Linked DNA regions of Astyanax mexicanus. The protein of the gene in region 1 binds, or shares a complex with, the protein of each later gene. Links are inferred from orthologs where the notes say so. Each region holds a gene or a part of one and is shown in the gene's direction. Other genes may lie near its edges.

The links.
Region 2: ik (region 1) and prpf38a share a complex: the UniProt entries of both Homo sapiens proteins name them as parts of the spliceosome B complex. The link is inferred for Astyanax mexicanus from reciprocal best matches to the Homo sapiens genes IK and PRPF38A.
Region 3: ik (region 1) and zmat2 share a complex: the UniProt entries of both Homo sapiens proteins name them as parts of the spliceosome B complex. The link is inferred for Astyanax mexicanus from reciprocal best matches to the Homo sapiens genes IK and ZMAT2.

The regions. Positions count from the first base shown.
Region 1 is NC_064424.1:33,881,387-33,891,747, forward strand, and holds the start of ik (protein Red), read left to right. Parts: upstream 1-5,570; 5' UTR 5,571-5,705; coding exon 5,706-5,721; intron 5,722-6,333; coding exon 6,334-6,400; intron 6,401-6,546; coding exon 6,547-6,639; intron 6,640-6,906; coding exon 6,907-6,966; intron 6,967-7,049; coding exon 7,050-7,217; intron 7,218-7,680; coding exon 7,681-7,795; intron 7,796-8,657; coding exon 8,658-8,728; intron 8,729-8,832; coding exon 8,833-8,879; intron 8,880-9,186; coding exon 9,187-9,350; intron 9,351-9,466; coding exon 9,467-9,575; intron 9,576-9,665; coding exon 9,666-9,705; intron 9,706-10,155; coding exon 10,156-10,351; intron 10,352-10,361. Other genes in the region: ndufa2 (NADH dehydrogenase [ubiquinone] 1 alpha subcomplex subunit 2), read right to left, coding at 936-1,027, 3,773-3,879, 4,516-4,613. UniProt on the Homo sapiens protein: Involved in pre-mRNA splicing as a component of the spliceosome. Auxiliary spliceosomal protein that regulates selection of alternative splice sites in a small set of target pre-mRNA species. Required for normal mitotic cell cycle progression.
Region 2 is NC_064412.1:22,006,358-22,016,669, forward strand, and holds prpf38a (pre-mRNA-splicing factor 38A), read left to right. Parts: upstream 1-4,838; 5' UTR 4,839-4,895; coding exon 4,896-5,025; intron 5,026-6,088; coding exon 6,089-6,248; intron 6,249-6,699; coding exon 6,700-6,821; intron 6,822-6,940; coding exon 6,941-7,026; intron 7,027-7,140; coding exon 7,141-7,251; intron 7,252-7,349; coding exon 7,350-7,456; intron 7,457-7,754; coding exon 7,755-7,781; intron 7,782-7,934; coding exon 7,935-8,038; intron 8,039-8,182; coding exon 8,183-8,231; intron 8,232-8,351; coding exon 8,352-8,397; 3' UTR 8,398-8,674; downstream 8,675-10,312. UniProt on the Homo sapiens protein: Involved in pre-mRNA splicing as a component of the spliceosome.
Region 3 is NC_064424.1:10,757,695-10,768,906, reverse strand, and holds zmat2 (zinc finger matrin-type protein 2), read left to right. Parts: upstream 1-6,873; 5' UTR 6,874-6,957; coding exon 6,958-6,975; intron 6,976-7,418; coding exon 7,419-7,509; intron 7,510-9,260; coding exon 9,261-9,384; intron 9,385-9,771; coding exon 9,772-9,845; intron 9,846-9,951; coding exon 9,952-10,097; intron 10,098-10,186; coding exon 10,187-10,330; 3' UTR 10,331-10,919; downstream 10,920-11,212. Other genes in the region: slbp2 (stem-loop binding protein 2), read right to left, coding at 3,236-3,406, 3,484-3,625, 4,236-4,403, 4,512-4,658, 4,768-4,854, 4,967-5,041, 5,188-5,322, 5,421-5,467. UniProt on the Homo sapiens protein: Involved in pre-mRNA splicing as a component of the spliceosome.

The DNA.
Region 1 (10,361 bases):
AAAAACCTTAAGGTTCCTGAAAAACCATGAGTCCTGGTCTTAAACCGGCAACCTTGGAAAAAAGAGCGAATCCAACTAACACAGAGTGTAACAAATGAAATAGAACTCTGGTCAAGAAATAGACTTAAAACTAAAAGTGGGACAACTGTTAGAATCACAGTTAGAACTGAAATTTGGATTAGGGTTAGAATCAGAAGTGAATTTGAAATCAACAACGAGACTTAAAGACAGAATCAAAAAATTGCGAGGGACAGTTGTAATCATAATCAGAGAGATCAAACACACTGTCAGGAACACTCTGAAGTTCTGCGTAAAAGACGTCATCTCCCTCGCTCTTTCTCTGCAGTGTTTATAGCTCTCTTGGTCAGGAGAGGGTCAAGTTCCAGCTGTCTAACATCTGCAGAGCTTTCAGATAAACAGCTTTTACAGCCGTTTCTCTCTCTTTAAACTGAAGCGATTCTGCAGTAGCAGAGAGAAAATGCATATCTATCCGTGTAACTTTCTACCTATCTTGTCTGTATCGCTATCAGTCCTTACTGATAGTCACTGTTCTACACCTGCAATTTACAGCACAGCCAGCAGATGGAGAATTCCTGCAGTAATCAAACAGATTACACTTAAGATTCCTGAATCCACTTAAATGTCATGACGTAGTGCAGTCACTCACTAAACACACATACATATTTACATTTTAACAAACATTATCATAGGTCCAGACTTTAAGGTGTGAGAATGCCCTAGATTTTTTTTTTTTTTTTTTTACAAGACATGGGATAGCTGTACTTTGTGCAACAATCCTTACTTTGTTTATAACAGTAGAGCATACCTTGTGAGACAAAAAAACACAGACTGAGCTTATGGAATTAAACACTATAATTTATTCTGGCAAAAAATTACATTTTTACACACAATACAAACAAATATGCAGAGTAAGATCATGGCTTTAAGTTGACTGCTTTCTCAAGCTCCTTGGCCACCTGTTCTGCGTTCATATTATCCAGAGCAAAGCTGCGTTCTTTCCCCAAACCTGGAACAGAAAAACAGAAAACCATGGTCAGAGCTTCAGTTCTACACTGTATACTAACACCACTTTTAACACAGCCCACAGGAACAGCATACAATACAGGGCGATTTGTTGTACCTTGGGCTAATACTAATTCCTTTCAATGTACATTTATACCTAGAGCAATTACTGCATGGAACAAGGTGCAACAACTCTCATGACTAAATCTAAGATCATCTTTAAAACACAGGTCAAAATATTAGAGAATTAAGTTATATTTAGTTGGGTATTCATTTATTATTGCAAACTGTGTGTGACAATGTCAATATTTATATATTGTGTGTTCTATTGGTGTTTTCCTTATTTAAGCTCTGTAGTAGTACTTTAATGATGAAACTTTGCAACATTGATGGAATTAATATTATTTTAAATAAATACGATAATAGTGACTAACCTGACATTTTGTACCAATCTGTGGATTTTATTGTTTATAGACTACAGTGTTATTTAATATAGCTATCAAACCATAAAAAGTGCATAGCAATTAAGTAGTTAATGTATTTATGAGCACGTTTTTTCCACATAAGCTCATTCTTTGCATTCTTGGTACAAAGAAACACACAATTTGTCCATAGGATGAGCATCAGTATCACTGGAGAGCAGCTCATCACCTCCAGACTCTGCTAGCTACTGGTCAGGGAATGCTGCACAGACCAGGTCATGAGATCAAACTTTCAAAACATAGGGCAGTATAGAGATGTATGACTAAATATATTCATTAAAAAATTAAAATCTATACATTCATTATGGATTCAAATTAATTCCTGTCAGACTATATTACAACACACAACATATTCATACTGCATTAGACTGTAGGACTGTGAATTGATACTGTATTAGACTGTTAAAAATAATGTTATAAAAATTCACAGTCAGAAGCATGATGAAAAAAAAAACACTTGTTTCCTGACTAAAAACTACACACAATAAAGATTCATAGTGCATTTAGACTGTATGACTACAGATTCACACTGCATTAAAATCACTTACTTAAACTGAAAAATGACACACACATGTTCCAAATTCATACTGGATTAGACAATAGGACTACAGATTCTTAGTGGATAACACACAAGTAACAAATGCCTATTTCACATTCATACCGGATTAGACTACTGGTCAGACTATAAAAAACTAGGGGTAATCTCGATTCAGATGTGGACAATCCTGAATTGATTCACAAACAATAAGAATCAATTTTCTAGACATAAGATATGATTGAAAACAAAATGACAGGACTCAAAAGGCAGAACTCAGAAGTGTAGCACATCAAACACATAACACAAGATACAGTCACGCAAGAAACCCCACAGGCACAAACTAAGCACTGCCTGGTTTGGGACTATTAGTGTGTACCGGTCAGATACGCTCTTATATCCTCCCAAGTGCAATGCCAAGGGTTGGACAATGAAACTGAAACACCTGGTTTTAGATCACAATAATTTATTGTGGCGACGGACAGTTCTGATGGAAACAGGAGAGTTGAGGTGCCGTGATTTGGGCAGCCGTGGTTTTAGGTTTTTTGGATACAATCCAGGTTAGCACCCAAACATCCCTTTCAGACAGCTTCCTCTTGCATCCACAGTTAATCCTGTTGGATGTGGTTGGTCCTTCTTGGTGGTATGCTGACAATACCCTGGATACTGTGGCTCTTGATACATCACAAAGACTTGCTGTCTTGGTCACAGATGCGCCAGCAAGACGTGCACCAACAATTTGTCCTCTTTTGAACTCTGGTATGTCACTCATAATGTTGTGTGCATTGCAATATTTTGAGCAAAACTGTGCTCTTACCCTGCTAACTGAACCTTCACACTCTGCTCTTACTGGTGCAATGTGCAATTAATGAAGATTGGCCACCAGGCTGCTCCAATTTAGCCATGAACCCTCCCACACTAAAATGACAGATGTTTCAGTTTTATTGTCCAACCCCTGTAGATCTCTTTAGATCTCTCTTCTCTCTGTCTTATTTCTAATTTTATTTTTATAGCTAACAAAAGCACTATATTTTATATCTTAAATGCTTTTAATATCACTAATTTAGCTTCTATTGCACTTTTCTTCATTGTAAATTTTCTATACTCTGTTTTAATCAACATCAAACTAATAATAATAATAATAATAATAATAATAATTATATATATATATATATATATATATATATATATATATATATTTTTTTTTTTTTTTTTTTTTTTTTTTTCCTTTTTAGGGGAAATAATTTAAATTTACTTGCACTTAAATATCAGGTAAGCCACTCCTGGGAATCTATTGTGTGTACATAAGTCACTATGAAGCTTTTTAGAATGTGTAACTTTCTATTTTATATTTAATACTTTTTTATGATTATACTATAATACTTTACTTATATGCAGATCAAACAAAGATCAGCCACAACACATCATCCATCCAAGTACTAATGCAATTAGGAAAAAGAAATCCTGTATAGAACAAAAAGATGCATCAATAATCATTTAATAATCTCATTACAGATCTCTGAATCGTAATCGAATCCAATTGTGTGGTGCCTCGGGATTCCCACCCCTAATAAAAACTATACACACAATTCATACTGGACTAGACTGCAGAACCATCTGCAGAATCAAACTAGAAAAAACATACTGTCAGACTGTAAAACTACACACACTGCAGATTCACATTGGATTAAACTCACTACACATAAATATATAGTGTTTTTTAAGGTCTTACCATATCGGGCCCAAAGCTTGGGCTGAACTCCAGAGCACTCTCTGATGAGAATGGGGAATTCTGGGTTGGCTTTCTTCAGTGGGACGTAGAACTGCTCTACAAACTCCCTGTTCAAAACACATTAAAACAACATAAATAAACAACTAGAAAAGAAAAAGCCGTGAACAAACTTTACATTCACTTCACAAAATTCACTAACAACGCTGAAAATGAGTTTTATTAAATGGTTACATTTTAGTATATTGTATTGATACCTTACCAATGATACCTTACTTTAACTAAATGCTGAAGTTGGGGTTTAAATCTAGAGTCCAAAACCTGGAATTGGATCAATGGTGGAAAGTAAACTTGTTTGGCTAAATGATCTGGGCATAAATACATTTAGCGTTAAACTGTATGGTGAAACACACATAAGTTCCTTTGCGTGTGTTTGGCTATTAGAGCTGTGGAGTCCAACTGGGACTACTGCACCATTCGTTCTATTAATTCCAAAATGTATATAAAATATATAAATACATCTACTAATAATACTTTTAAGATGTAAAATAATAAATGAGTGACCCAACAGCTGTACAGTCCTATAAACCTCATCCTAATACCTTAAATATTGTTATTATTTCGGCCTGATCAATTTCGGGGTTATAAACACCGCCATGCAGACTGCAGTAAACCCGTCTCTCCGAGCGGTGGTAAACCCCCGTAAACCCCTGAAAGCCCCCGTTAGCCCTGCTCGGGTAGTTTACCTGGCCCCCTGGCTCGCAGGTGAGCTCTGGCAGAAGTGCAGGCGGATTTCCCGCAGGTTCCTCGCCAGGTTAGACCCGATCGCCCTCACCGCCGCCATCGCTCTCACCTTCAGCTCCGCTGCTTCTGCTGCTGCAGGAGAAACACAGCGCGCCCGCAGCCGCTACAGCGACACCCAGCGGTCAGAGAGTGAACCGCACCTCGCTCAGGACTTTTAGTTTGAAATTGCCAACGAAACTTACATAATAATAATAATAATAATAATAATAATAATAATAATAATAATAATAATAATAATAATAATAATAATAGGTAACTCAAACATTCGAAGACACAAATAATAGAAACAACACTGACAAAATTATATCTAAAAGCTATTAAAATAAAGCAAACAGAAACATGGATGAATAAAAAATTAAAGTAAAAAAAAAAAAAACACAATAAACCTAAAGGGAATGCGCATAACAGTATAAAGAGTTATTTTCGTAATCCTTACAGTATGATAACACTAAACATTTTAAACAATTGAAAACTCATTAGAAGATGACAAAGATGTTTTAAGTAAAATGTTTAACACTCTTAGTGATCTAACTAACAGCTATTTTTGTTTTTGTTGTTGTTCACAGAGGGACTCAGCGAGTTAACAGTCTGTAAATATATTTTCTGTATTTTCATGTCTGAGATATTACAAGAAATACAAGATATATAAGTAATATTTTAGAACATTTAACTTTGTGCTATGTTACAGGAACATCATCACAATTCCATCGTCATTCTTTCACAATATTAAACGACGTCTCTAAGCAGTGAATGAGAATGAATGAGCAGTCAGTAGACTAAAAATAATAATAATATTGTAATAATTTGTAAGAGGTGAAGATCCATGAGCCAGGACTCATATTACTCATATTTATTACAATACACATTATTTAAAATAAATACATCACGGTTTAGCACTAATAAGGTGGAAATAGTAATTATTGTGGCATTAAAATATGTGATTGAATCGGTGGAATTTGGTGCTATTAGTCCTCCGGTGTGTAGGGGGCGCTGATCGCTGTAGGTGCACTGCAGTAGGCTCTACACAGCAGACCTCTGTAACTCGCAGCCGTGTTGTTTTTGTGACTGTTGGCTAAAAAATCCGCCAAATAAAGGACTTTCTTTACGTTAAGTTTAAACTTTAGCCTCCAGGATGCCTGAACGGGAATGTAAGTGTTTATAATATAGCGCTTTACGCGTTAATCTGGCGTATTTGATGTGTTTTATCGCTGTTAGCCTCAGTGTTAGTCTATCTTCATAAATACGTTGCGTTATTCCAGTATATTGGACTGAATTTGTGTTTTATTAAACAGTGACTGCTCCACTTTAAATGCTTTATAGTGGGACGGGAGGGTTCTGTAACTGTGTGGTCCCCAAATAACTGTGGAATCGTCTAGTGTAAAAAGTGTAAATTGCTGTAAACAAATATGAAACTGCCTTTGTGTTGGAGTCGTCCGTTCCACCTTAAATGATGCGGCAGTTACCTACTGCGACCCAATGTAATTTTTCTAAAATTTAAGATGGAACGGACTTATTTTTATTTTAATAGAGGGACCGCTGTTAATCTACGGTGTATAAAAAAAGAGAGAAAAACACAGAACTCAAGTTTAAACTGTTTAATAAGTTTAACACAAGAAATAAAGCCTAACTTGTGGTGATGTTTGTGGAAGCTACTGAAATGTAATGGTGTTGTATGGCTGATTTATACAGATTTAACTGTAATATGTAAAGTGTAATTTTTGACCGTTTTTATTTATTCACCCTCTTATTCTAATCTTCAGCCGAGCTGTACTCTAACCCTCTGGCCCCGGACGGCCATGAAGTGGAGGACCATCGCTCAGCTCTGCAGTGAGTTTGGATGATTTTTATTTTTAGTTTTACTTGATGTTTACTGCAGTTTTTATACATGGTATTGAACCTTGTGTTCTGTGCTATAGTTACCCCTTTGTTTCCTTAAATGCTGGTAAATCTGATAATCTATGTGTAATATTTAGATCCAAGCTGACCAATGAAGACTTCAGGAAGCTGCTGATGACCCCAAGGGCAGCCCCCTCCTCAGCTCCACCATCAAAGTCCCGTCATCATGAGTATGTACAACTTTGAACACAATTTGGCTTACTGAAATAACAATTAAAAAAAGGGTAAATAGTAGAAGCCATATGGTCCAATGTGTTACCTATAGTGTATTACAGTCTGAATGAGTCAGAATGAGCGTGTGGATCATCTAAACATTTTAAAGTGCCTCCAACGCTTACTGCAGTGAATTACAGTATATATGAATGACAACTTGAATTATATAAACATCATAGTAAGTGTCTGATTGTTGTAACCACATTTCTACTTTAATTTCCCAGAATGCCTCGTGAGTATAATGAGGATGAGGATCCTGCCGCTCGCAGAAGAAAGAAGAAAAGGTGGGCTTAAATTATATAGCGTTTGTGTTTAAATAAAGCTGTTGAAATGGTGCTACTGATCTAACTTGTTATTTTTCCTTTAGTTATTATGCTAAGCTGCGACAGCAGGAGCTGGAGCGAGAGCGGGAGCTGGCGGAGAAGTACCGAGATCGAGCTCGAGAGAGACGAGATGGAGTTAATAAAGATTACGAGGAGACTGAACTCATCAGCACCACTGCCAACTACCGAGCAGTGGGTCCCACCGCAGAGGCGTAAGAGACCAGTCACTCTCAGCACACAGTACAGCAGCATGTTTAAATAGTGTTTTTGTGATTGATTTATTCAGTTATTTTAAAGCGATAGTAAGTAAGAATTTCCTAGTTAGTGTCCTCTCTGGTGAGAATGTGTAATTGCACAGTGTGTGTTGAGAGTAATTTTAATGCAGAGTAATGTAAATTAATTGGTTTTAATAACTTATTTATATTACATTTGTTCATTTTCTCATTAATGAAATACTTAGAAAATATAGAGAGCATTTATATCCAATAAACCTACCAGACCACTTTCTTTTATAGGATGACTTTATTAGACATTGCAAGAATGGTCCTGCCAGAACACTGATAGCATTAATCAGAATATTCTTTCCCTGCCCTTCCCTGTCATACTGCTTTCAGTTTAAAATAAAAGTCTTATGGACTGCTGCTTTAAGGTTCTATATATTTTCTGATTTTACAGGGATAAATCGGCAGCTGAGAAGAGGCGTCAGTTGATCCAGGAGTCTAAGTTTTTGGGTGGTGACATGGAGCACACTCACTTGGTGAAAGGTTTGGATTTCGCGCTGCTGCAGAAGGTAAGCAAAAGCCTAAAAAAGCCTTTTTGAGCCAATAAGCCACAACACGTTGTGTGTCCAGAACTTTCCACAATGCTGTCATTTGGCAACAGGCAAACGAAACCACAAAACATATGCCAGCTCATAAACTTGTGAAGGCATGTTTGGCTTATGCAGTGCTTGTAAATATAATTGTAGTTTTGGAGAGTTTTTCTCTGCAAAATGTGCGGAGAATCATATATTTCTATATATCTTCCTTTTAATGAATCAGTCTGTCTCATTTACTGTTCCATTTTATTGTTTTATTCAACTTGATTTAGATCTACATGTGCATGTAGTGAGCCTACATTTCTAGGTTTGCTGAAAGTTAAAAGTAGAACTGCGAGTGGGAATGATAAAGCATGATGCTTAGAAACGTTCACCTCATGAATTTGTCTGCGAATCAAGTTTTTTTTTCTGCACTTAAAAATGAGAAAAACAAACAGAGCCTACCCCACTGTACAAGATGATGATGTACAAGTAACACCTCTGTGACTCAGTGCAGGCCCGGCCATGTTTAGTAAACTTAGAATTATAAAGTAAATCATTTGTTATGAAGAGATGGCTGGCTGAGTAATACACGGTCAAACTAACAGAAAACCACACATGGCCTAGTATGGGCAATAGTTGGTACCAGGTCACTAATATTGGTTACCTCATTGGACATTCAAGATTAATTTACTACTTAAAAGAATAAGAAATCCATCTTAAGTTGTCATTTTAAGGGCATTTTATTTTTGATTATGACAGTATTTTTTTCTGGAATTAAGCAGACTATTCTAAACAGTGCAGTAATAACTGTGTTTGATGTTTTTTTATTAATAAATAACCTCCTTTTGTTTAGGTGAGAGCTGAGATCACCAGTAAGGAACGAGAGGAAGAGGATATGATAGAGAAAGTGCAGAAGGAAGTGAAGTAAGTGTAAAATCCTGATCGTCTGCTTTAGTACAGATTTATTATTATTACTATTCTTATTTATTTTTATCAGCACTGATTTCTTGTGGTTTTGTGTTTTGTAGGAAAGATGAAGATCCTGAGCAGAAGATCGAGTTTAAGACCCGTCTTGGTGAGTGGGTTACTCAGTATATTATGTTGTGTTTATTATGTTAAAATATTTTCTATGAATAGAATGCATGTACATTATTATGTGGTTTATATTAAAATGGCTATGTGTGATAACTTGGTTCCTTTTTTATATTGCATTTTGTTGCTTTTTCTTCTTATTATTATTATTATTAGATTAATTTATGTGAAGAATTAATTTTTGGAATATTCTAATCAGGGATTATATTCAGAAAGTAGGTAGCTATGTGGCCAAAATAAGGCTTTCTAAAGCTTGACTAAATGTTCTGCTCTGTGATTGGTCCGTGCAGGGCGGAACATTTACCGGATCGTGTTTAAGGGGCGTCAGATGGAGAGGAATGAGTTGTTCTTGCCGGGTCGGATGGCGTATGTGGTGGATCTGGAGGACGAGTACGCAGATACAGATATACCCACCACTCTGATTCGCAGCAAAGCAGACTGCCCCACCATGGAGGTACATACACACACACACACACACAATAATATTAACTGTATCTGACTCAACAGCAATACAACAGTACAACAGCAGCAGTCAGAAAACTAAAGAATCCTGTCTCCCCCCCCCCCCAGGCCCAGACCACCCTGACCACAAACGACATTGTCATCAGTAAGCTGACCCAGATCCTGTCATACCTGCGGCAGGGAACCCGCAACAAGAAGCTGAAGAAGAAAGACAAGGGTAATAACAGTAACATCCTTTGTACCCTATATCAGCGCTTACCTAGAACCTCAGTGGGTCTCATGTATTAACTGATTGTTCTGTGTTTAGGAAAACTGGACGAGCGAAAAGCTCCGGAGGCTGACTTAAAGTGAGTACAGTATACAGTATGTGGAATAATGATTTTAATTATGCTTAAAATGGATGCATCAATTACTTTAGAACCCAGATTATTTATCCAATAATAGTAAAAAAAAAAAAAAAAAAAAAAAAAAACAGTGTTGAGCCTAATTATTAAAAAATGCTGAATATTTTATACTTAACAATAACATTTTAGATGAAATTAAAAAGTTTCAGAGAATCTGTGTTTAGTATCGCTATTCAGACAAAAAATTCATTTTATTGATAAATTTGGGCCAGAAATTGTAGAAGTATATAGAAGTACAATATTTGATTTAAAGTAAATACATACTGCATACCATTTGTACTATTGATAAATACAATAGATGTAAAAGTATGTGTGAATATAAGCTGATTGGTTGTTGGTGTACCTGAGCAGTATGATGATTTACATTGATCGTTGGTGTTTAATTGTCTTTAGTATATTTGAGGATATCGGAGACTACATCCCATCCACATCCAAAGCGACCCGGGAGAAGGAGAAAGAGAAGGAGCGGTACCGGGAGAAGGAGAGGGAGCGGGAGAGGGAGCGTGAGAGAGAGAGAGAACGAGAGAGGGAGGAGGAGAAGAGGCATCACACTCACAGCTACTTTGAGAAACCTCGACCTGAGGATGAGGTGAGAAAAT
Region 2 (10,312 bases), on another chromosome or scaffold:
GACACTTTGAGGGCAACACTATTCCACAGCGTGTAAAGATAGCTGGCTAACTTTAGCTAACTAGCTTAGCATACGTCTGTAGGTGTAGTTGCAGTCAGTATGTAAAGTTACAGCTGAAGACGACCCACTGAACCAATATCACTTACTTTTAGTAGAGCCTCTGCAATATATCAAGCTTCTTTAACCAATCCGACAGTGTGCTGTTATCCTTACTAGATGGGAAAGTGATATAACGTTAAAACTTTAAAACACTGATCCGTGCTCGCTCTGTCTCCCCCAACCCCCTGTTGCCTTCAGACACGACACACAACTTTTCCCGCGAAAGATGAGGACTATTTGCATACCGACATATCATTGGACCAGTGGAATGAATCCACGCCTACTGACCCGATGGCGTAGGCCGTGCGTGTCATAACTACATGCTGACTTGCTGTCCTACTGCCTAAACCTTCTCACTTAAAGCCGTAGAAAGCGGTGAATCTGTAACCGAAACAAAAAAGAAAAATAGCGCTTCCTGCCATACAATATATGATCGTTTATATGTGTTCTCATTAGCTGTTAACCTTAATGCTAAACAAAATAGAAGGCTAAATTACTAAACATCGATTCAGACAAGGATGGGTTCTTTCCTGCCTAACTAGGCAACATGTCATACGTTTCAGATACAACCCAGCGGATATTCTTTTTTTCTGCGGGGTCGACGTGTTTGGTCGTGAGTATCATAAACATCCACCTGTTTTTTTATATTTTAATATGGGTTAGACGAAGGTTTATTTAGTATTTTTGTGTTTATTTAAAGTTTCTACATCTGGAAAAAAGATGTATGAAAATGTATGAGCTCTCTCTCCTTTCAATATTAAATCTTTTTTTAGATGCAGATGATCTAAAATGTCAGTCTGGACATCTCTGATGCACATCAAAACAAAAATCGTGTTTACTTCCGACTGGTTATAGGCAAGAAAAGCAAGGTACCAGCCTGAGAGGGGCATTGTAACAGTAACTAAACTAAACTAAACTAAACTAAACTGAGTCTAGTACATCCTTGCAAATATATGTATCCAAGTGTCCTTTTGGGCATCTCCAAGTGCCATTTTGAGCATCTCCAACTGTCCTTTTGGGCATCTCCAAGTGCCATTTTGAGCATCTCCAACTGTCCTTTTGGGCATCTCCAAGTGTCTTTTTGGGCATCACCAAGTGTCACTTAGGGCATCTCCAAGTGTCCTTTTGAGCATCTCCAAGTGTTCTTTTGGGCATCTCCAAGTGCCATTTTGGGCATCTCCAAGTGTCCTTTTGGGCATCTCCAAGTGTCCTTTTGGGCATCTCCGAGTGTCCCTTTGGGCATCTCCAAGTGTCATTTTGAGCATCTTCAAATGTACCTTTGGGCATCTCCAAGTGCCATCTTGGGCATCTCCAAGTGTCCTTTTGGGCATCTCCAAGTGTCCTTTCGGGCATCTCTGAGTGTCCTCTTGAGCATCTTCAGGTGTCCCTTTGGTCATCTCCAAGTGTCCTTTTTGGTGTCTCCAAGTGCCGTTTTGGGCATCTACAGGTGTCCTTTTTGGCATCTCCAAGTGTCCCCTTGAGCATCTCCAAGTGTCTTTTTGATCATCTCCAAGTGCCATTTTGGGCATCTCCAAGTGTCCTTTTGGGTATCTCCAAGTGTGCCTTTGGGCATCTCCAAGTGTCCTTTTGGGCATCTCCAAGTGTCCTTTTGGGCATCTCCAAGTGTCCTTTCGGGCATCTCTGAGTGTCATTTTGGGCATCTACAGGTGTCATTTTGGGCATCTCCAAGTGTCCCATTGAGCATCTCCAAGTGTCTTTTTGGGCATCTCCAAGTGTCCTTTTGGGCATCTCCAAGTGTCCCTTTGGACATCTCCAAGTGTCCTTTTGGACGTCTCCAAGTGTCATTTTGGGTATCTCCAAATGTCCCTTTGACCATCTCCAAGTGTGCCTTTGAGTATCTCCAAGTGTCCTTTTGGGTATCTCCAAGTACCATTTTGGGAATCTTCAAGTGTCATTTTGGGCATCTTCAAGTGTCATTTTGGCCATCTCCAGGTCTCCCTTTGGGCATCTCCAAGTGTCCTTTTGGGCATCTCCAGGTGTCCCTTTGGGCATCTGCAAGTGTCATTTTTGGCATCTCCAATTATCATTTTGGGCATCTCCAAGTGTCCCTTTGGGCATCTCCAAGTGTCCTTTTGGGTGTCTCCAAGTGTCCTTTTGGGTATCTCCAAGTGCCATTTTGAGCATCTCCAAGTGCCATTTTGAGCATCTCCAAATGTCCCTTTGGGCATCTCCAAGTGTGCCTTTGGGCATCTCCAAGTGTCCTTTCGGGCATCTCTGAGTGTCCTTTTGGGCATCTTCAGGTGTCCCTTTGGTCATCTCCAAGTGTCCTTTTCGGTATCTCCAAGTGTCATTTTGGGCATCTACAGGTGTCCTTTTGGGCATCTCCAAGTGTCCCATTGAGCATCTCCAAGTGTCTTTTTGGGCATCTCCAAGTGTCCCTTTGGGCATCTCCAAGTGTCCCTTTGGACATCTCCAAGTGTCCTTTTGGATGTCTCCAAGTGCCATTTTGGACATCTCCAAGTGCCATTTTGGGCATCTCCAAGTGTCATTTTGGGCATCTCCAAATGTCCCTTTGGCCATCTCCAAGTGTGCCTTTGAGTATCTCCAAGTGTCCTTTTGGGTATCTCCAAGTACCATTTTGGGAATCTTCAAATGTCATTTTGAGCATCTCCAAGTGTCCCTTTGGGCATCTTCAAGTGTCATTTTGGCCATCTCCAGGTCTCCCTTTGGGCATCTCCAAGTGTCCTTTTGGGCATCTCCAGGTGTCCCTTTGGGCATCTGCAAGTGTCATTTTTGGCATCTCCAATTATCATTTTGGGCATCTCCAAGTGTCCCTTTGGGCATCTCCAAGTGTCCTTTTGGGTGTCTCCAAGTGTCCTTTTGGGTATCTCCAAGTGCCATTTTGGGGATCTCCAAGTGTCCCATTGAGCATCTCCAAGTGTCTTTTTGGGCATCTCCAAGTGTTCCTTTGGGCATCTCCAAGTGTCCCTTTGGACATCTCCAAGTGTCCTTTTGGATGTCTCCAAGTGTCATTTTGGGCATCTCCAAATGTCCCTTTGGCCATCTCCAAGTGTGCCTTTGAGTATCTCCAAGTGTCCTTTTGGGTATCTCCAAGTGCCATTTTGGGAATCTCCAGGTGTCCCTTTGGGCATCTTCAAGTGTCCTTTTGGGCAGCTCCAAGTGCCATTTTGGGCTTCTCAAAATGTCCCTTTGGGCATCTCCAAGGGTCCTTTTGGGTATCTTCAAGTGCTCCAAGATCCAAGATCTCCAAGATGATGCAACATTATAGCACAGGAGTTTGGTTGTAGCTACTTTTTTTATCACTTTGTTTACGTGCTTAAATCCCTCGTTTCCAAAACTCTAAAAACAATATATAACTTTTAATACCTGAACCTGAAAGTAGTTATTGCATTATTTCATTTTTATTTTACTATAAATGGACCAATATAAATGTTTTTTTTACAATGAATTTTATTAAAGATTAAGAAGGGAGTTTCTCCCTATGTAAAGTCACTGTTTTGTACGTTTTTTGTTTTGACAGTGATTATGGATAGAAATAATTAACTAAAATAGTTTGTCTATAAATACAATGTAATTTATATAAAACTGATACATCGTAGCATTTAAAAAGCTTATGTAAGACTCTCCACATTAGCAGTTCTGCTTGTTACTGGGGAAGCATGTAGCAACACATTACAACACAAAGAGATGCGCAAAAACATACCAGACACGTAAATGTGCCCGCCGTGCGTAAAAGTGTCCGCCGTGCGTAAAAACGCATCCCGGGCGTAAAAGCGCGCGCCGTGCGTAAACGCGCATTCCGTGCGTAAAAACGCATCGCGTGCGTAAAAACGCATCCCGTGCGTAAAAGTGCGCGCCTATCCCGTGCGTAGAAACGCATCCCGTGCGTAAAAGTACATTTTGTGTATAAAAATTAGCGCTGTGGGCAAACACCCAGGGGAGTGCTCACACTAAAATCCCAACATCTATAAGGAAAACAAACCTGACAACTTCTCAGGTGTCGATTATTAATTTATATATGTATATTATTTATGTTAATCTAATTAATGGATCTGTGCTGTTTAAGGTATTGTAAGAACATTTGAGAATATTTCACTAACACTGCTAAAGAACTCCTGCGCTAGATATTTTTAAAGGGTTTATTTACAAATTCAAAGTTTTTCTAAGACTGACTTGTCCATATGGAATCATATATGGTTATTTTACAGCATCAAACCTATATGTCATAGCATGCTATATATTTCTGCACTTTACAAGGGGACTTTTTCAGATCACATCTGAATTGGGAAATTAACATAACAAATTTCATGAATAAAGCAGACGTGAAATCGACGTATCTGTGACCTAGCAAATTAACATGCCAAATTTCCTGCGTAAAACAGATTATTCAACGACGTATGTGGGGTGCGATCGGTCTCTGGAGCATATCATATTAATAAAACCAATTTATAATCAATTCAAATGAGGTTGATGCATTTAAGATGTTCAGACCTTTACAAAAAGGTCTTAGTATGTATGCTTTCAGGGTAGTTACTGAGGTAGAGGATATATAGTACTTATCATACACAGTTAACAGCAAATATTGAGACCATTTTAGTCATTTGAAACACAATCTGTTAGCGTGTGAAGAGAAAGAAAGAAACTAAAGTAATTCCCTCATTTAACATCCACATTTAGCCGTGGGTTTACTCCACACTCCGTGCTGTAGGTGTCAGTACTCCCCACTATCAGTCCAGCAGCAGGGCGCTTTAGAGGAAGTTCAGTGGGTTGTGTTCCGGCGTGAGCGCGTTTCATTCATCAGTTCTCTGGTGGAAATGGCGAACAGAACAGTGAAAGATGCGAACAGTATACACGGAACTAACCCCCAGTACCTGGTGGAGAAAATTATCCGCACTCGAATCTACGAGTCCAAATACTGGAAGGAAGAGTGTTTCGGTCTCACAGGTGAGGAGAAAACAGCGTTAGTTAGCCGGTCTGGTGTTGTGCTAGTTAGCTGTGTAGCCAGCTAGGTTAGCTTAGCTTCCTAAGCTGTGTTTAGGGTTATCTACCTGCAGCTCGCTACTGTATTAATTATCTGTTCTCTTGGGTAGATTTGGCAGTGAACCTTAATTAACTAACGTTAAACCCTGGACATCTTTCTTTTGTATTCATAAATGCGCGCACTAACGCAAGAAAGCTGACATGCTAATAACATATAGCTAGCGTTAGCCATGTTAGCTAAATTAGCTCTATGTATCTCACTAGTACTTTGAGCTATTTTGCTAATTAGGTTTACTAGGTTAGCATTTTAAGTAACTTAAAGCATTAGTTAGATACATAGGGAGCTAGTTTAGTTAACGCTAGCAATCCAGCTCTGAAAAAAACAAGAGACCGCTTAAAAACGACGAGTTTCTTTAATTTTACCAAACTGAAAACCTCTGAAATATAATCAAGAGAAAGATGGATGATCACAAGCCATCAAACCAAGCTGAACTGCTTAAAGTTTTGCACCAGGAGGCTTAAAGTTATCCAAAAGCAGTGTGTACGACTGGTGGAGGAGAACATGCGAAGATTCTTGAAGATGTTTGAAAGCTCTGCATCTTTTTATTTCAGCCATTTCTCATTTTCTGCAAATAAATGCTCTAAATGACAATATTTTTATTTGAAATTTGGGAGATGGTGTCTATAGCTTATAAAATAAAAAACAATGTTCATTTTACTCAAACATATACCTATACATAGCTAAATCAGAGAAACTGATTCAGAAACTGAAGTGGTCTCTTAATTCTTTTCAGAGCTGTAAATGATAAGCCAGTATGTTGCTAGCTAGCTAACCTGCATAATGTAATTTTTAATGGATATTAGACATGCTACATATCTGTTCTATTTTGGATGTAGGTATTGTTAAATTGTTGACGTTTAGAGCATCAGTAGTTTATTATTTTATGTATATTGAGCTTTGAATTTGTTCTGACTCTGGACTCTAATCTTTTTGTTCCTCATGGTCACTGAATATATCAACTTTAAGCTGAGCTTGTTGTGGACAAAGCAATGGAACTGAAGTTTGTCGGAGGAGTGTATGGCGGAAACATCAAACCCACACCTTTCTTATGTCTGACGCTGAAGATGCTCCAGATTCAGCCTGAGAAGGACATCATTGTAGAATTCATCAAGAACGAAGATTTTAAGTATGCATATCTCACCTATATTTATATTTTATCTATCACTGACCTGTCTCCTGAGTTTTTTCCTTATGTGTTAGGTTGTTCCTAGTATTATTTGAGCTTCCTGGTTTTTGCACATAAAGAATATCTTTACAATTTCTTTATTGGAAACTGTAATGACTTCACAAGCGGTCCTACCAGACTTTTTATGTTTTAAAACTAATTTCAGCATTTGGTTGGCTGAGTGGGGTGTGTTACATTTAGGTAAAAATGAATAGAAGAAAATAAAACAGACACATGTGATTAAATTAATGCCCATCATGCACAAATGCATTTGGTTTAAGCAGAATGTTTATTGTTTAAACTATTGGGTTTTGTGTCTATTAGGAAATAAATACAGCTACTATCATTAGAAAACAGAATATCATAGTCTATGCATGCAAGTGCTGAATGTAATTTTTAATGTTTTGTTCAGATATGTCCGCTTGCTTGGAGCAACGTATATGCGCCTGACTGGCACCTCAGTGGACTGTTATAAGTATTTGGAACCGTTGTACAATGACTACAGAAAAATCAAAACACAGAACCGAAATGGAGGTAAGCAGCACATTGAAACTAATACCGCATTGGTTCATAAATGAGAGTAACTATATATAGTAATTCCTTGTAAACCAAGAAAACCTTCTAACGTACTTTATCTTACTCTGTCTTCCCAGAGTTTGAGATAATGCATGTGGACGAGTTTATAGACGAGCTGCTTCATGCCGAGCGAGTGTGTGATGTCATCCTCCCTAGGCTCCAGGTTTGTTTTCTTTTTGTATATAATTTAGAATATTGTTATATGTGAGCAATTATGCAAATTTGGGTTTAAATCTGTTACCCTTTGTTGTACTGAAATTGAGTTCATCTTTTATAGAAGAGGCAAGTCCTGGAGGAAGCTGAGCTTTTAGATCCGCGTATCAGTGCCCTTGAAGAAGACCTGGATGAGGTGGAGTCCAGTGAAGAAGAAGACGAAGAAGAGGAGAAGGTATTACTCTAACAATACTTATCACAATAATATTATTAACAGAGGGGCAAAAAAAAGTTTGGTAATTTTTTTGACTTCAATTTTTTTTTAATTTATAGCCGGAAAGAGTACAGACACCAGAGCCACACAGACGGAGTTACAGAGATATGGATAGACCTCGCAGATCTCCCTCTCCTCGCTACAGACGAAGCCGATCGCCCAGAAGGTTGGTGTTAAGTGAAGATTAAGAAAGTGCCAGCAAACTAGCTAAATAAGCATCCCTAAAAGAGTAACCCCCCCTGAAATGATCAACATGCTGTGTTATGTTAATGGATATAAAGGAATACATGGTTATACTGGAATTATTTCAATCTGATGGTGTATTTATTGAATGCTTTTGAAAGGTGTGTGTGTGTGTTGAGTGGCTGCCACTAGTCTATATGAAAATTGAAGTGCTACCATACAATTTATTATTGTTCTTTTCTTTTTCTTTTTTTTTTCCCTTTTTTTAAACCCTGAAACAGACGAAGCAGATCCCCCAAGAGACGAAGGTACACATACAGTGCAAATCTGTCTTTCTCATTCTTACTTCTGCATGCATGTTAATCATCTGAACTAAACTATAGCAAACCACAGAACATTATACATCATTCATTCTTTTAATACTGAGATTTAAGTGATTGTTATTCTGTTCGTGTTTGCAGCCCATCACCCAGACGTGAGCGAGAACGGGATCGCCACCGCAGCAAGAGTCCCCGCAGACACCGCAGTCGGTCCAGAGACAGGAGGCACCGCTCCAAATCTCCAGGTACAACACATCAGCTCATATTTATGCTCTTATTAGCTGCTTGTAAGTTTTCAGTTGTGAACCTGATTCAGGTTATTTTAAAGTAAGGAAATAATATTAATCTTTTTATTATTTAATAAATTATGTCTGCTTGGTTTAATTTAGGTCATCACAGAAGCCACAGACATCGCAGTCATTCAAAGTCTCCAGAAAGGTAATTGAATTCTATTAGAAATAATTCTGTAAATGTATTCCTGATCAATATAGATATGAAAATAGATTGTATTTGTTTATTCGTCAAGTCCTTATGTTTGAATGTTTGTCTCTTTAACAGCCGCTCAAAGAAGAGTCACAAGAGGAGTCGAAGAGGAAACGAGTGATTTTTCTACATTTTTTTGTAGATTTTTTTTTATGTAATGCTTGTATGGTAATGTGTATATAAAAAAAAATATGATGTGAATCTTTTTCTCAACTGATTGGAGTCACACAAGTTTTTTGATGCTGTTTATTCTTTTAAGTCATTTTGAGTGGAAATATTTTTCATCCCATCAATTGTAGTTCATTATTAAAGTGTTTCAGCAGCCCTCTTGTAATAAACAGTTTATCTACGTGTAAATTATGAAAAGATTTTACTCAAATAAACTGTTGTTACAGTGACGGTACATGTCCATTTTTTTGTAAATAAAATCAAGTGCTAAATACTGTGCAAATAAGGCTCAAATGGGTCAGTCTGTGAGGTATTAGCCTGACCACGTGACTGGGGTCTCCTTTTTTGCATCATGATAAATACATTTTAACAACACATTTACCATGAAGTAATTTGACTAAAAATTGCAGCCCAAGTTATTTTGATAACATCTGTTTTATTGTGAAATGCATCACTTTTGAGGAATGTTTTCTTAATGATCGTGATTGGAACATAATCCCTTACTTCATTTGTAAAATGTGATGAGTTTTGGAATTTGTACCTTGTAGATCAGAGTTTTACAAACTTGAGAAAGGTAAAATTTGGAAAGTTTTAAAAAGTGGGTCACTAAAGATCATTAGCATGATTTGTCAGAAGTGGCTAACACAATACAATCATTTTATGATTTGAAGGCAACTACTTGGCTAATGTAAAGCTTTAAACCATATACTGCCTTTGTCAGAGCAATACTTTAATGGTAATAAATGTATTCATGAATATTGTCCGTGTTAAGGGGTTGTATTTTATGTTCACACAGGATGTTAAACATGCTTGCTAACATCTCTAAAGAGCACCAGAGAAGAAGGGTTGAGCTTTTTTGCTAAGTGGCAAATCTTAAAATATCAGCCACACAATTTGTCACATGCTAACGAGACAGCACAAGTGTTGCTGTTTGTTGTGCCATCTATTTTAATATGGTCCAACAGACATTATAAGATGTGCAATCTGCTTTAATATGTACAGGTTTGAGTGCTGGGTGAAATGTTATTTGGTATGTTGGCTGTTTTAAGTGCAGACACTCGGCACAAAGGGATCCAACTCATTCTATAAATGCACCTGGAAGACTTCTAGGAAAATAAAGTTTGACCAAGTATATAAATAAAACATTTAAAACTATAAATCTCGATGGTTTCCATATTTAGTTAAATCTATGGCCTCCTCCGTGAAATAGAGGTTCTGATTGGTTCTGCCAGCAAATAACTGAGCAATGTAATCTTCTGGTGTTGGTCCACTGTGTTATATCAAGTCTGAAGTCAGTGCAGTGTTTTTCTGGTAAATCTTACAGAACTTTATTCTTCCAACCTTTCTGAAGATGCAGATTTCATTTTCCAGCAGGATTTGGCCCACTACCCACACTGCCAAAAGTACCAATTAGTCTTATATAATACTCTAATTTTCTGCAGCAATGATCTTGACTGTAAGAAACGCTTAGAATAGATCGCTCTGTGTGTAATACATATGAGTTTCACATTTTTAAGGGAATTACTGAAATAAAGTAACTTTTCAAAGATATTTCTTTTTTTTCAGATGCACTAGTATAGACAAAATACGCATAATCTTTATTTTATAGATTTTGGGGGGTCGATTTTGTTTGCCATATACATGAATTTTACGAGGTATTGTTGTGTTACTTACTTTCTTTTTTTCTTTATTTATTAATTGATTGGGTTTAGATATTTTGCAAAACTGCTGCTAAGAATAAGATAAAGGTCTCATGCCTAAACAATGTTTTTAATATTTTATCTACCAGTTGATCAATGACTCATGTCTGTCAAAGTACTTTATATACAGCTCTCGAAAAAATTAAGACACCACTTCAGTTTCTATGT
Region 3 (11,212 bases), about 23 Mb from region 1:
CGTTGTTCAGCGCATGCGCAGAGACGCTGCGTAGCACAAATTGACGGGTAACACAAATCGACAGAACACCGGCCGGTGTTCTGTCGATTTGTGCCCCCCCCCCCTCCTTCATATTTTTAATGTTTTCACGTGTTTTTCATGTGAATTCCTTTTTTTCTCGTCGGCATTTAACAATTGCAGCTTACTAATATTATTGGCTCAAGTGTTACAAACGTAGAAATGACGATTAAAAAATACAAAAACACAATTTAACTATCATATCAATTAGCGTAAGCTCCCCTGATATAGCGTTAGGTTAGGTTGGCTAGTGAATTGGGCCACCCAAAAATCCTAATGATAAGATAACGTTATCTAGGAGCATTTTTGATATTCTGATACGATGCTTTCGCCATATAAGCCAGATAATACAAATAACTAACCAGGTTAGCGTTTTTTAGAACTTAAGCTTTAAAATAGCTAGCTAGTTAGATAAAAAATATATAACAACAGTAATTAATTAACTAGCACGTTTTAACGGGATGGCACAAAACGACGGAACACCAAGCTAGTCGCTCGGTCCGTCACAGAGCACACAACTGAAGCTAGCTAAATAGCTAACGCTAGCTACCGTAGATTCTTAATGAGTGTCTGCGTATGAGGATAAATATAGCTAGCGTTAGCTAACGTTAACGATACATAGCTAGCTAGCTTATCAAAATAGACAACACTAATTATCAAGCTAGTTAGGTTAGCTATACTGTGTCTATTTAGTTAGCTAGCTAGCTAGCTACCCTAGGTTTACTGACGATGGATGAACTGGTGTTCCTCAAAATAGCATCATATCAATGGAAGGCTATCCAGCTAGCCGAGAAAGACATCCTAGCCATAACCTAGCCCGTGATGAGCATTATTAGCTAACGTTATGTTGGCTGGGTGCTTGGCTACCTAGAAAGCAGCACAGGCCCACTAACGCCTGCAACCCTAGCTAAATCAGGACATACAGCGACGGCTTGGATAGACTAGCGTAGCTTAGCTTAACCAGTTGAGGCCAATAATGCAAAGCAATACATTTTACAATGCAAAAACACCGTGCACGATAAATAAATATCTAACTTATCTACCACACGATCGATTATCTTAATAGGGCTGATTGAACAGCCTGGCGTGTGTAATTCTGATAATAATTGATTGATATTTTAGCCACACAATAACACACATACATATACATATACAGCTGAAGACATGGAGGACATTTAACGATTCTGACTTACCTCGCCGCCGACGGAGACCAGCACAGCCGTCTCACACACAGGGCCCGTGGAGCCTAGCTGTTAGCTAACTAGCTAACCTAGCAAGTTGCTAGCCAGCTAACGTTGGTCTACCATTGCCTAGCTGCACAAGATCAAACAATTCAGACCAACAACTAGCTACGCTAGCCAGCTAGCTAGCGAACTAGCGGGCTACCCGTCCAGGGTACCCATGGCGTAACGTTAGCTATTGTCAATCCCCGTTCTCTACACCTAACACCAGCATACCGTTAAATCAACGTTGAAGACCCGCCGCACGCCGACGCGAACCACCCCCGCGAGCGGAGTGTGAGGAGCGATCTAACACAACACGAATATCTGCTATAAATTCGACATTTCACCGCCTTCCCATCGTCTCCCACTAGGAAAATAAGAACGCCCGTAGAAATCCAGTGGCTTCCATCTGCAGAGCCTCCAGCCCCCCCGCCCCCGCCGAAACACACCATGCAGACCCCCGTCCACGCCCTCTAGTGTTCCTCTATCAGGTAGCAGCAGCAGCACCACCACCACAGACAGTACACTGATAACAAGCAAGAGAGAGAACATTGATTTAACGTTAAAATATATTTTTTTTCGTTGCATTACATTAGCTTTTTGATGGGAAAAGACAACCTTTAAACAATCTTTTATTTAACACAGCCTAATTTTCATTGGTTAGTGTTTAACCCCTTAACATGCCTACAGGCTTCATTTATAAGTGTAATAAATAAATCTTATTATCTGCAGATTTAAAAATAGATGTACAAACTAGACAACCATAATGAAACTAAAGGTTTGAAGGACAAACTGTTCGATTTGCATTTTTAGTAAAATATTGAATTTAAAATAAAGTTCAGGAAAGAGACAACTTTATGATTTTATTTATTATATTTTGACATTAGCAGATTTACTTAAATATTTTCAATTACAATTATGTTTTTCAATAATGTTCCTTATCAAACATAAACGTTTTTCATGTGACGCTTGAATAGAAATCCTCAATATTTAGTGTTGTAATGTCAGGCAGACAATTGGCAAAAATCCTGGCCTGTGAAGGGGTTAAACTGTAACATTGATGACATTTTTATTGATTTATATTTAAATGTTTGACAGTGGTTGGGGCTTTGAATCTACACTGCAAAAACACAGTCCAGTGGGAAATAAATGCCATTAAGGACAAAAGCTTAGGCCGTGCCACAGGGTCCTATATTAACACACTTTTCTAAAAAAAATAATGGCTATATATGTTATGTTAAAATGTTAATTTTGATACATTTAGGATGCACCAGGGTCCCTGTTTCAGCCGTATATATGCCCATTGAAAATTAATTTTAGTACAATGTAAATAGATTAAAAGGGAAAAAAAGGGCTTGTAGAAAGTGCTAAATAAAGTTAATTTGACTATCGTCTGTCAAACTGAAAACACTGAAGGACACTACTGCTAGTTTTTCACCTTTTAAACTTTTGTGTACCAATGGTTGCTCCCCCACCCCTTGGCCCTCTTGACTTTATGAATTACCAAGGCAAACATTTAACATATCTTTATTGGTTTTGCTTTCCACTACTTTTAAAGTCATACAAAAATACTCAAATTTCAAAACAAGGCTAACAATCTTCCCCCAAACAACCTGACTACAGTGAAACAGGGAGACGAGGAAAACTCACAAAATCAAAACAGCAAAAAAAGTGCCTTTAGGAAAAGAAGTGTCTATACTAGTGAGGGAATATCCAGTGAAGGAACAAAACACGAGCAAGTAGTGAAAAAAAGAAAAGTGCAAATTTTAGTGGTTTCAACAGTTAAGTGATCTGAATTACAGGGGTTTTGATGCAAAACTACCATCAGCGTGCTCAGTGTTCAACATTAAGATCCAAGTACATGTTTGATCATATCTTAGACGCCATTCCTGGGTCATTATTTATTCCTGGAAAACAAGCTTTACACATGGTCTACACAAGACATCATGGTACAATCAGTAAAATCGCCAAAGTGGCTGTTCACTCTCCGGGGCAACTTCGCTGCGTGCATGGTCAGTCTCCAAGAGAAATCGCAGCCATCCAAGGACATTCTCCTCAGCAGTTAGATGACTATTAAAGGAATAGCCCAGTCCAGAAGTCTGGCTTTGCTGGCCTGTTAAATCAGCCTGTAGGTAAATAAGAACATGCATCAGGACACCCTATTCATACAAACACAATAAATCAACTTTTCTGTTCTACTTACTTGAGGAGCAAGAGGCTTCCAGAAGCCATTGCCTAAGCCTTCAGTAGGTTGAGAAAGTACAGAAGCACTTGAGTCAGATACATCCAACGTCCTTTCCTTTTCTTCTCCCAGCTCAGTATTCATTTTCTCAAGCAGGTCCTGCCTAAGAGAATTAGCATGCAACAGGTTAACCTTAAAACTCCTTAAAAAGGTCTTATGCTGTATTCCATTTGAACCAAAGAAGAATTAGCTAGATCCAATTAGGAAATGTTCACAGATCAGATTTATTTATTAGAAGTGTTCAGAGAACCCCACTAACCAAGAATTCATAATCCAAGATGGCTGCAATGCAAGTCAAGAGTAATAAAAGCGTCGTATTAAATAGTTTATCACCAAGTCTATACATTAGCGTCTCATAAAATCAGTTGCTGTACTGTCCGTATTCCATCTATCTACAGACATGATTTCATGGTACTCAAATTAAATACTGCACAATGCCAACCTGGGACAATGTTAATGATAAATCAAACCAGTTGCAGTAAACTCCAAAGGCTATAGCTGACTTTTTTTTTTTTTTTTTTTTAAATAGTGAAACATTATCTAAAATATTTTATGGCATACTGGAATGCTCCAATCTGGTGTCAAGTAATTCTCAATTCAAACAGCTGAGGTAAATGGAACACAGCACAAGTCTTCAAACATAAGACTACATCTGCAGAATGTTTATGATCTAAATTTAACATCACACAATACAATACCAGTCCTACACATACAGTTGATCAACTGGGTCTTGTCCTTCATTGTTCCCTTGGGAAGTCAAAGGTGGGTCCCAAGCATGTAGCGCTCTCCGCCAAAGCCTGACTTGCATGTCCCAAGACCGTCGGCTGTACTTGCGGTATTTGTTTGGAGTGGAAGGGTGAAACCCAGGGATGCGAAGGCGCCTAAAAGTTATAGCACAGAGAAAAAAAAAGCTAGTAATAAGTAAAAAAACAAGCCTAATTATCTTAAGGCTAGTAAAAAGGTATGTAGGTCTGTAGGTCTGTTCTTACTTTGGAACGTGCTTCAGATAGTTCTGGTAGCCACAGGTGTTCTTTCCATACTGAATTTGCTTCTGTCTGCGCTTCAAAACCGACTCGTTGGTCTCAAAATGAGATGGGTCCATATTTTGAGTACACCATCGGAGTCTTGACGGTGACCTAAGAAGGTTTGTTAGCTTTGATAACCACAGAGAAATCCACATCCTAGAACAGGCTTCACAATATTAGTCACCCTAACAAATTGCACATTTCAAAGTCTGCACCTGACCTCTTGATATCATCTAGATCCTCTGTCCCAACAGCCACATTAGCTGTAGATATCTTGAGAATGCACCTCTCAAGAATAGAGGATCTACTTAGAGTTGTAAAGAGGGAAAAAAAAAATAAAAATTAGCACTGAGGCCATGCATAATCAAGACATAATTCACAATATTCTTAATTATAGAGCTGATAAATAAAGTCAAGACCTGCGAGGCTTGGACATGATGGAGGAGGTGGTATTCCTTTCTTCACTTACAGAGGACGGCCTTGGGGTTCTAGAGCTATTCAAATGCACAGCAATACAGAAAAACAAACAGATTTTATAATTAACCACAAAATACAAAGCATTACAATGTCCGTTCAAAACAAAAGTGCTTGGTGCTCATTTGTTCTTTAAAACAAACGGCTTAAATCTTTACCTTCTTACCTGACCAGGCTGTCATACACCGAGCTGCAACCTGGGAGAAGCCATGGCTCTGGACTGCCTGGCTCAAGAGGTGGTCTGACCCTCAAATCATGAGGTAACTCTGGAATGTTTGGCCACAAGGGAAGAGACAGGCCCCTAAAATTAAATTAAACAAAAGGAAACCAGATTAAGATTAAATCCCAAAGTGTTCTACACTCAGCAACAACACACAGAAGTAAGTAAGTCTACTGGACCTTGACTCCAAAGGGCTATGAAGTGCAGTTTCAATCCGTGCTGTCATGCTGACTCTGCCACCTAGTATGCCGCATAGTTTGAAAGACCTTTAAATCAGCATCAGGTGGATAAGGGGCGGGGCTACACAATTAACCCACGTGTTACGTAGCCGGTCAAATTGACCCCTTTTAAAGTAAAGTTAAAAAAAAAAAAAAATACAGGCACAAGCACGGTGTTTGGATCATATACAATATTGACTAGAGCCCACAAAAGGAAAAATAAATTAAAGTAAACACTTTTTTTTTTCATCAAAATAGAGGCACAATATAGTTGTACTAAAAAAGTTAATTATAATAAATTAACCATATTTTACTTGAAAACCAAAATTCCAAATTTGATTACACTAAATATTGTTCACATTAAATAGGTAATATGTTAAAAGCCAATGTTTCTTGGAAAAACGCACTGGCTCAATCTGGGTTAATATTACTAACATAACAGTATTAAAGACAGCATAGCCAGCAGAAGCTCTGAAAATTAATATCTGTTAATGTTTAACTTAATATACACATGAAGGATTATACATATTATACATATCATCAAGTAGTCGTCTGTACTAATTGTAATAATTGATCACAAACAAATGTTGTTGTATTCACGTTTTGTTTTTCTAAACAATATTTTATCCAATTATGTATTCCACTTACATTGTTTTATCATGCTATTGTGAAGTCAAAAGAAACTGCTCCTTTAAGTAGCAGTGTTTAGTAGTATCTTGTATTCCCATTATAATAACCTGAACTGAATTTGTATTGGTGCATTTTTTTGTAAGGATGTTGTTTATTTTAAATAGATAAACGGTGCACAAAATAGTAACACATATCCATAACTTAAATGGAAATCGTATTTGATAATTACTGACATATTTAAAGAATATAATTTTTTGAAATGACAATATTGAAAATAGGCATGTTTATTTGTATGTTTGTTCACATATATAGCATTGAACTGTATTTAAGGCTCCATACACACAGTGTGGACTGCAGTAGGTGAAGAAAAAAATAATTTATTTCCCAAACTATTATTAATTGCAATCATAGTCTTACAAGGCTATAAAAGTGTTGCTTTTATCCTTTATCACAATCATTTCTTGGATGGTATATTGTCCACAAAAAATGTCAATGCCTATGAAAAAAACTAACATTTTTTTTACATTTTATTTTATGTTGTATATATTGTGTTCTTTTTGCATACTAATTGGAAACATGCAGCCACGTTTTTCATTCTCCTGTACATCTGTACTTATTTGATTTGTATGTTCTTTCTGAATGGGTGGGTGTTTGCCTGTTACTTGTTTATAGTATTCTTATTTATTTTATTGTATTTATTTATTTTACCTTTTTCAGCAAACCGTGTGTGAGAAGTTGTGTAGATTGAAATAAATGAGACAAATTAACACAGAACTCACCTTCACTTTAATCACACAGTTCCCACAGAGCTTTTATTTTGCCTTGTTGTTTTTCTCCAGACAGGAAGAAGATCTCGTTGGTCAGCAACATGGCGTCAGGCAGTGGGGTGAGTTATATTGTTTTTTTTTTTTTATTAGTTATATTAATGTCTGCAAGGTTATATCTGTTTTAATGTATTCAGTAAATGCTGTAATTGATAGACTGTAACATAGCCGGCTGAATAAACTATAAACTACAACGTTACCGTGCTAAAACACGCTCCTGTGGCCATTAGCTTAGGTAGCTAGCTAGCTAAGCTAACTAAACATTTGTCAGTGTTCAGTGAAAATTTAATGATTTATCCAACAACAGTTATAGATCTGTAATGCTGTTAAAGGAGCTGCTGACAATAACTGAATATCTAAACCATATATGTTGTAGGCGTTATATAGCTGGCATGTTAGACAACAGGTTATTGTCACGGTGTTTTATTGTTTATGGATACCCAGCTAGCCGTGGCTACCCTAACTAATTAGCGAATAATCTCCAAATCTCTTTTTTTTTTTGTAGTCTAAGAACGATTTTAGGCGCAAGTGGGACAAAGATGAGTATGAACAGCTGGCACAGAAGCGTCTCACGGAGGAAAGAGAGAAAAAAGATGGTGAGTACATTCATATAGTTTATATAGTGCACTACTGTACTGTACTATATTCACACTTTCACTGCCTATTGTTTGGAAATCCTGATATGACATGGTATATATATATATATATATATATATATATATATATATATATATATATATATATATATATATATACCATATTTTCTTTACATAAAAAATGGTGAGCACTAGGAAGTATGTTCACTGGTCTGTGCATGGCTTCACAGACTGCTACATTGCGCTGTGCTGTGTTACTTGGTGTGTGGTGAGCACTAGATACTAAGTGGTAAGCACCAGATAGTATGTTCACTGGTCTGTACAGGTCTGCACATTGCGCTTTGCTGTTCCACTTAGCCACTTTACCAAAAGTGGGGACGATAAAAAAGTGTCTACCTTCTATCGTCTCTATCGTTTCTACAGTAATTTCATCAATTATTCATGCAAATATATAAAGTAGGCTACGATGAAATGTATTAGCGTGGTCACTTTGCATAAACTCTGTTTATATAAGTGATAAAGTAATCTTCACAAAAAAGCTTCATAATGTGGTTTTGTGACACAACGCTGCTTTACGTTATTTGACGGAAATGCACAGACACCGGTTTGCGACATGCTTTACGTTTTTAAACTCATGAGAGCTGAACAATGGAGACGCATTGTTCTTTTTAAAGAATTAGCTACTGCATCTACCTCATCTGTTTTCATTCGATACATATATATTGCTGCAATAAAAGGTAGGAATTCTCGTTTGTGAAAGTTTGTTTTAATGTCACTTTGAAATAAAGTTTTTTCGAAGAATAACTGAAAACATACTTAAATGTAGTATATCATAATATATATCGTTATTGTGATATAAAAAAATTCATATTGTGATAATGATTTTTCCCATATCGCCCAGCACTACTTGTACAGTTACTTACATTGTTCTCTCACTGGACTTGCTGTTTTTATTCTGGAATGCCAATTACGCATACTTCATATGTGTAGACACTAACCCTACTTGCCACCTTGTTTATCTCATATCTTATAATGTACCTTATAAAACCAAAGAGATGCTGTGTTTTAGCTAGCCCACAGGTTTCTAAATAAAATATTAAAATTAAATTGAAATCCTCTCTGTTTAACCTTAGAACCTGTCTAGTTTACTTTGCAGTAGTGATGGCAAAAGTGGGTCTTTTGGGAGTTTGAATGAAATTAACCGATTGATTCGGGGAAAAAAAGATTCAGCCTTGTGAGTCCTGGGGGATAAATATGCCAGTAGAAGATTCATCACTACTTAAATATGCCTTTCCTAACTGTAAATTTCATTACAGAGAGTGTAAAAAATCCTTTAAATTATGTTATGTGCAGCAACAATTATAATAATTAATGTAGGTCTAAAGTAATTTTCTATGTATTAAGGAGTATTTGAGTAGAATTTTTTAAGAATTTACCACTCCTGGTGCTTTTTACCCATGAGTCAATACATGATGAATACTGTATATCATAGGATTGTCTTTCAATACAGATATAACAATTTGCCATGTCACCCAGGTCTCTCAGTGCATGATTATGTACACCAACGCTGGTGGCTTTTATACTGTTCATATCAATATCGTAATTATATCATACCAAAATTAAGAATTTTGCTCTTGTTTTATTGTATTAAATCTGATGCACAGATTTATAATTATATAAATAATTATTTGCCAGTATTGTTATGATTCTGTTATTGTGCATCACAAAACTCTATGAACGTTTTTTTACAGGCAAACCTATGCCACCAGTCAAGCGGGAGCTCCTCAGGCACAGAGACTACAAGGTTGATCTGGAGTCTAAACTGGGGAAGACAATTGTCATCACTAAAACTACACCTCAGGCTGAGATGGGCGGGTGAGTATCTAATGCAATTCCCGCGATTCCAACTGAATGTGAATAAGACTACTTTTAAAGAATTTGCATTAAACATCCAGAATCAGTCAATTTTTACTAAGAGAGAAAAAATGGAAAGTGCTGGCCTTTATTCCTTAGGAAGAATAAGGTAAATTTGGTAACATTTAACTATATTGCATAAACAGAACTGTCCCAAATCGACAATTTAAACAATAATTCTACATTATATATGACATGGTGAGGGACTGTCAGGAGATGCTGCTGCTGCTGATGTTGCCATTATATCTTTATTTTTTGTTCATTTTGTAGAATTTAGTTTTCTGGAAGCAAATATATTTTAAACAGAAATATTTGGTCTTATTGGTGTTTTCATACTTTTTTATGTAGATACTACTGCAATGTTTGCGATTGTGTTGTGAAAGATTCCATCAACTTTTTGGATCATATCAATGGCAAGAAACGTGAGTTTCTTTTTATTTCTTTGATTTGCTGTTTCAGAAAAATGTAAAAATAAAAATTGTATATATTATATAAAAACATTTTTCTCACTTTGTCTCACTAATATAGACCAGAGAAACCTTGGAATGTCGATGCGAGTGGAACGGTCCTCATTGGATCAGGTTAAAAAACGCTTTGAAGTAAATAAGAAAAAAATGGAGGAAAAACAGAAGGAGTATGATTTTGAGGAAAGATTGAAGGAATTACGAGAAGAGGTACAGAATTTGATTTATAAACATGTTTTGCTTTGCCTACAATAAATGTATTTTGTACATTTGGTTAATATTTTGATTTATTTATTCAGGAGGAAAAAGCAAAGGCATATAAAAAAGAGAAGCTAAAAGAAAAGAAGAGAAAAGCAGAGGAAGACCTGAATTTTGAAGAGGATGATGAAATGGCTGCTGTAATGGGATTCTCAGGGTTTGGGTCCTCCAAGAAGAGCCACTGATTCCCACCTTATACATATCCTTGCTTAAGCCTTTACAGTTCTTACAGAGTGGAGAACTATTCAACTATCAACAGACTGGAAGAACCCTTCCTTGACTGGACTACATTGGGTTTTTTTTATGTCAACTATCACAAATTCCATGAGCAAAGACGAAAACAACAATTAATCAAAATGTTTTCCACCTGTTACTTGTTTTATTACAGATTCATATTTGGAATTAAAATACGGGTGGAGCAGTTTGAGTTGAATGTTGTTAGTTTGATGCTTGTTGTAAATATGATTTTTTTTAAATTCCTCTCACTTGTCCAATTTATTCTGTAGATTTTGAAATATAAGGAAGGGTAAAGGAATGTGGTGTTACAAAAATTAGTGTTTTCATTGACACAAACTTGTCTTTCAGATCTGCAAGAGATGATTGAGGGTGTAGTTGCATCAGAAATACCCAAGCATAGAATAAAGGCAAGTTTTGTGTCAGGGCTGTATTGTGTTTTTTTTTGTTGTTTTTTTTATCCAACTCAAACATGTTCTTGCAAATAAACTGTATTATATTATTTTAAAAGAAATGTGCTTTAATTAAATTTTAAACAGCCTTGTTTCATTTAATTAACATTTCACACAAGCATTTACATTTTCAGGGCCTTTTTATAAATAGTAGTGACTGTCCATCCACGAAAATAGTTTAACTGTTAAAGATCTGCAGTATATTAACGTTATTTTTTTTTTTATGCCAAGAATATACCAATAAGAAAAAAGAAGCTTGTCAGAGCCGAAATGAGCCATCAGTCAGGCCAAGACACATTCTACAACCAAAACACCTCTGAGTACAATCTAAACACCAGTAATAATTGCAGTGCAACAAACAAATGAGCATATTCTGTCATT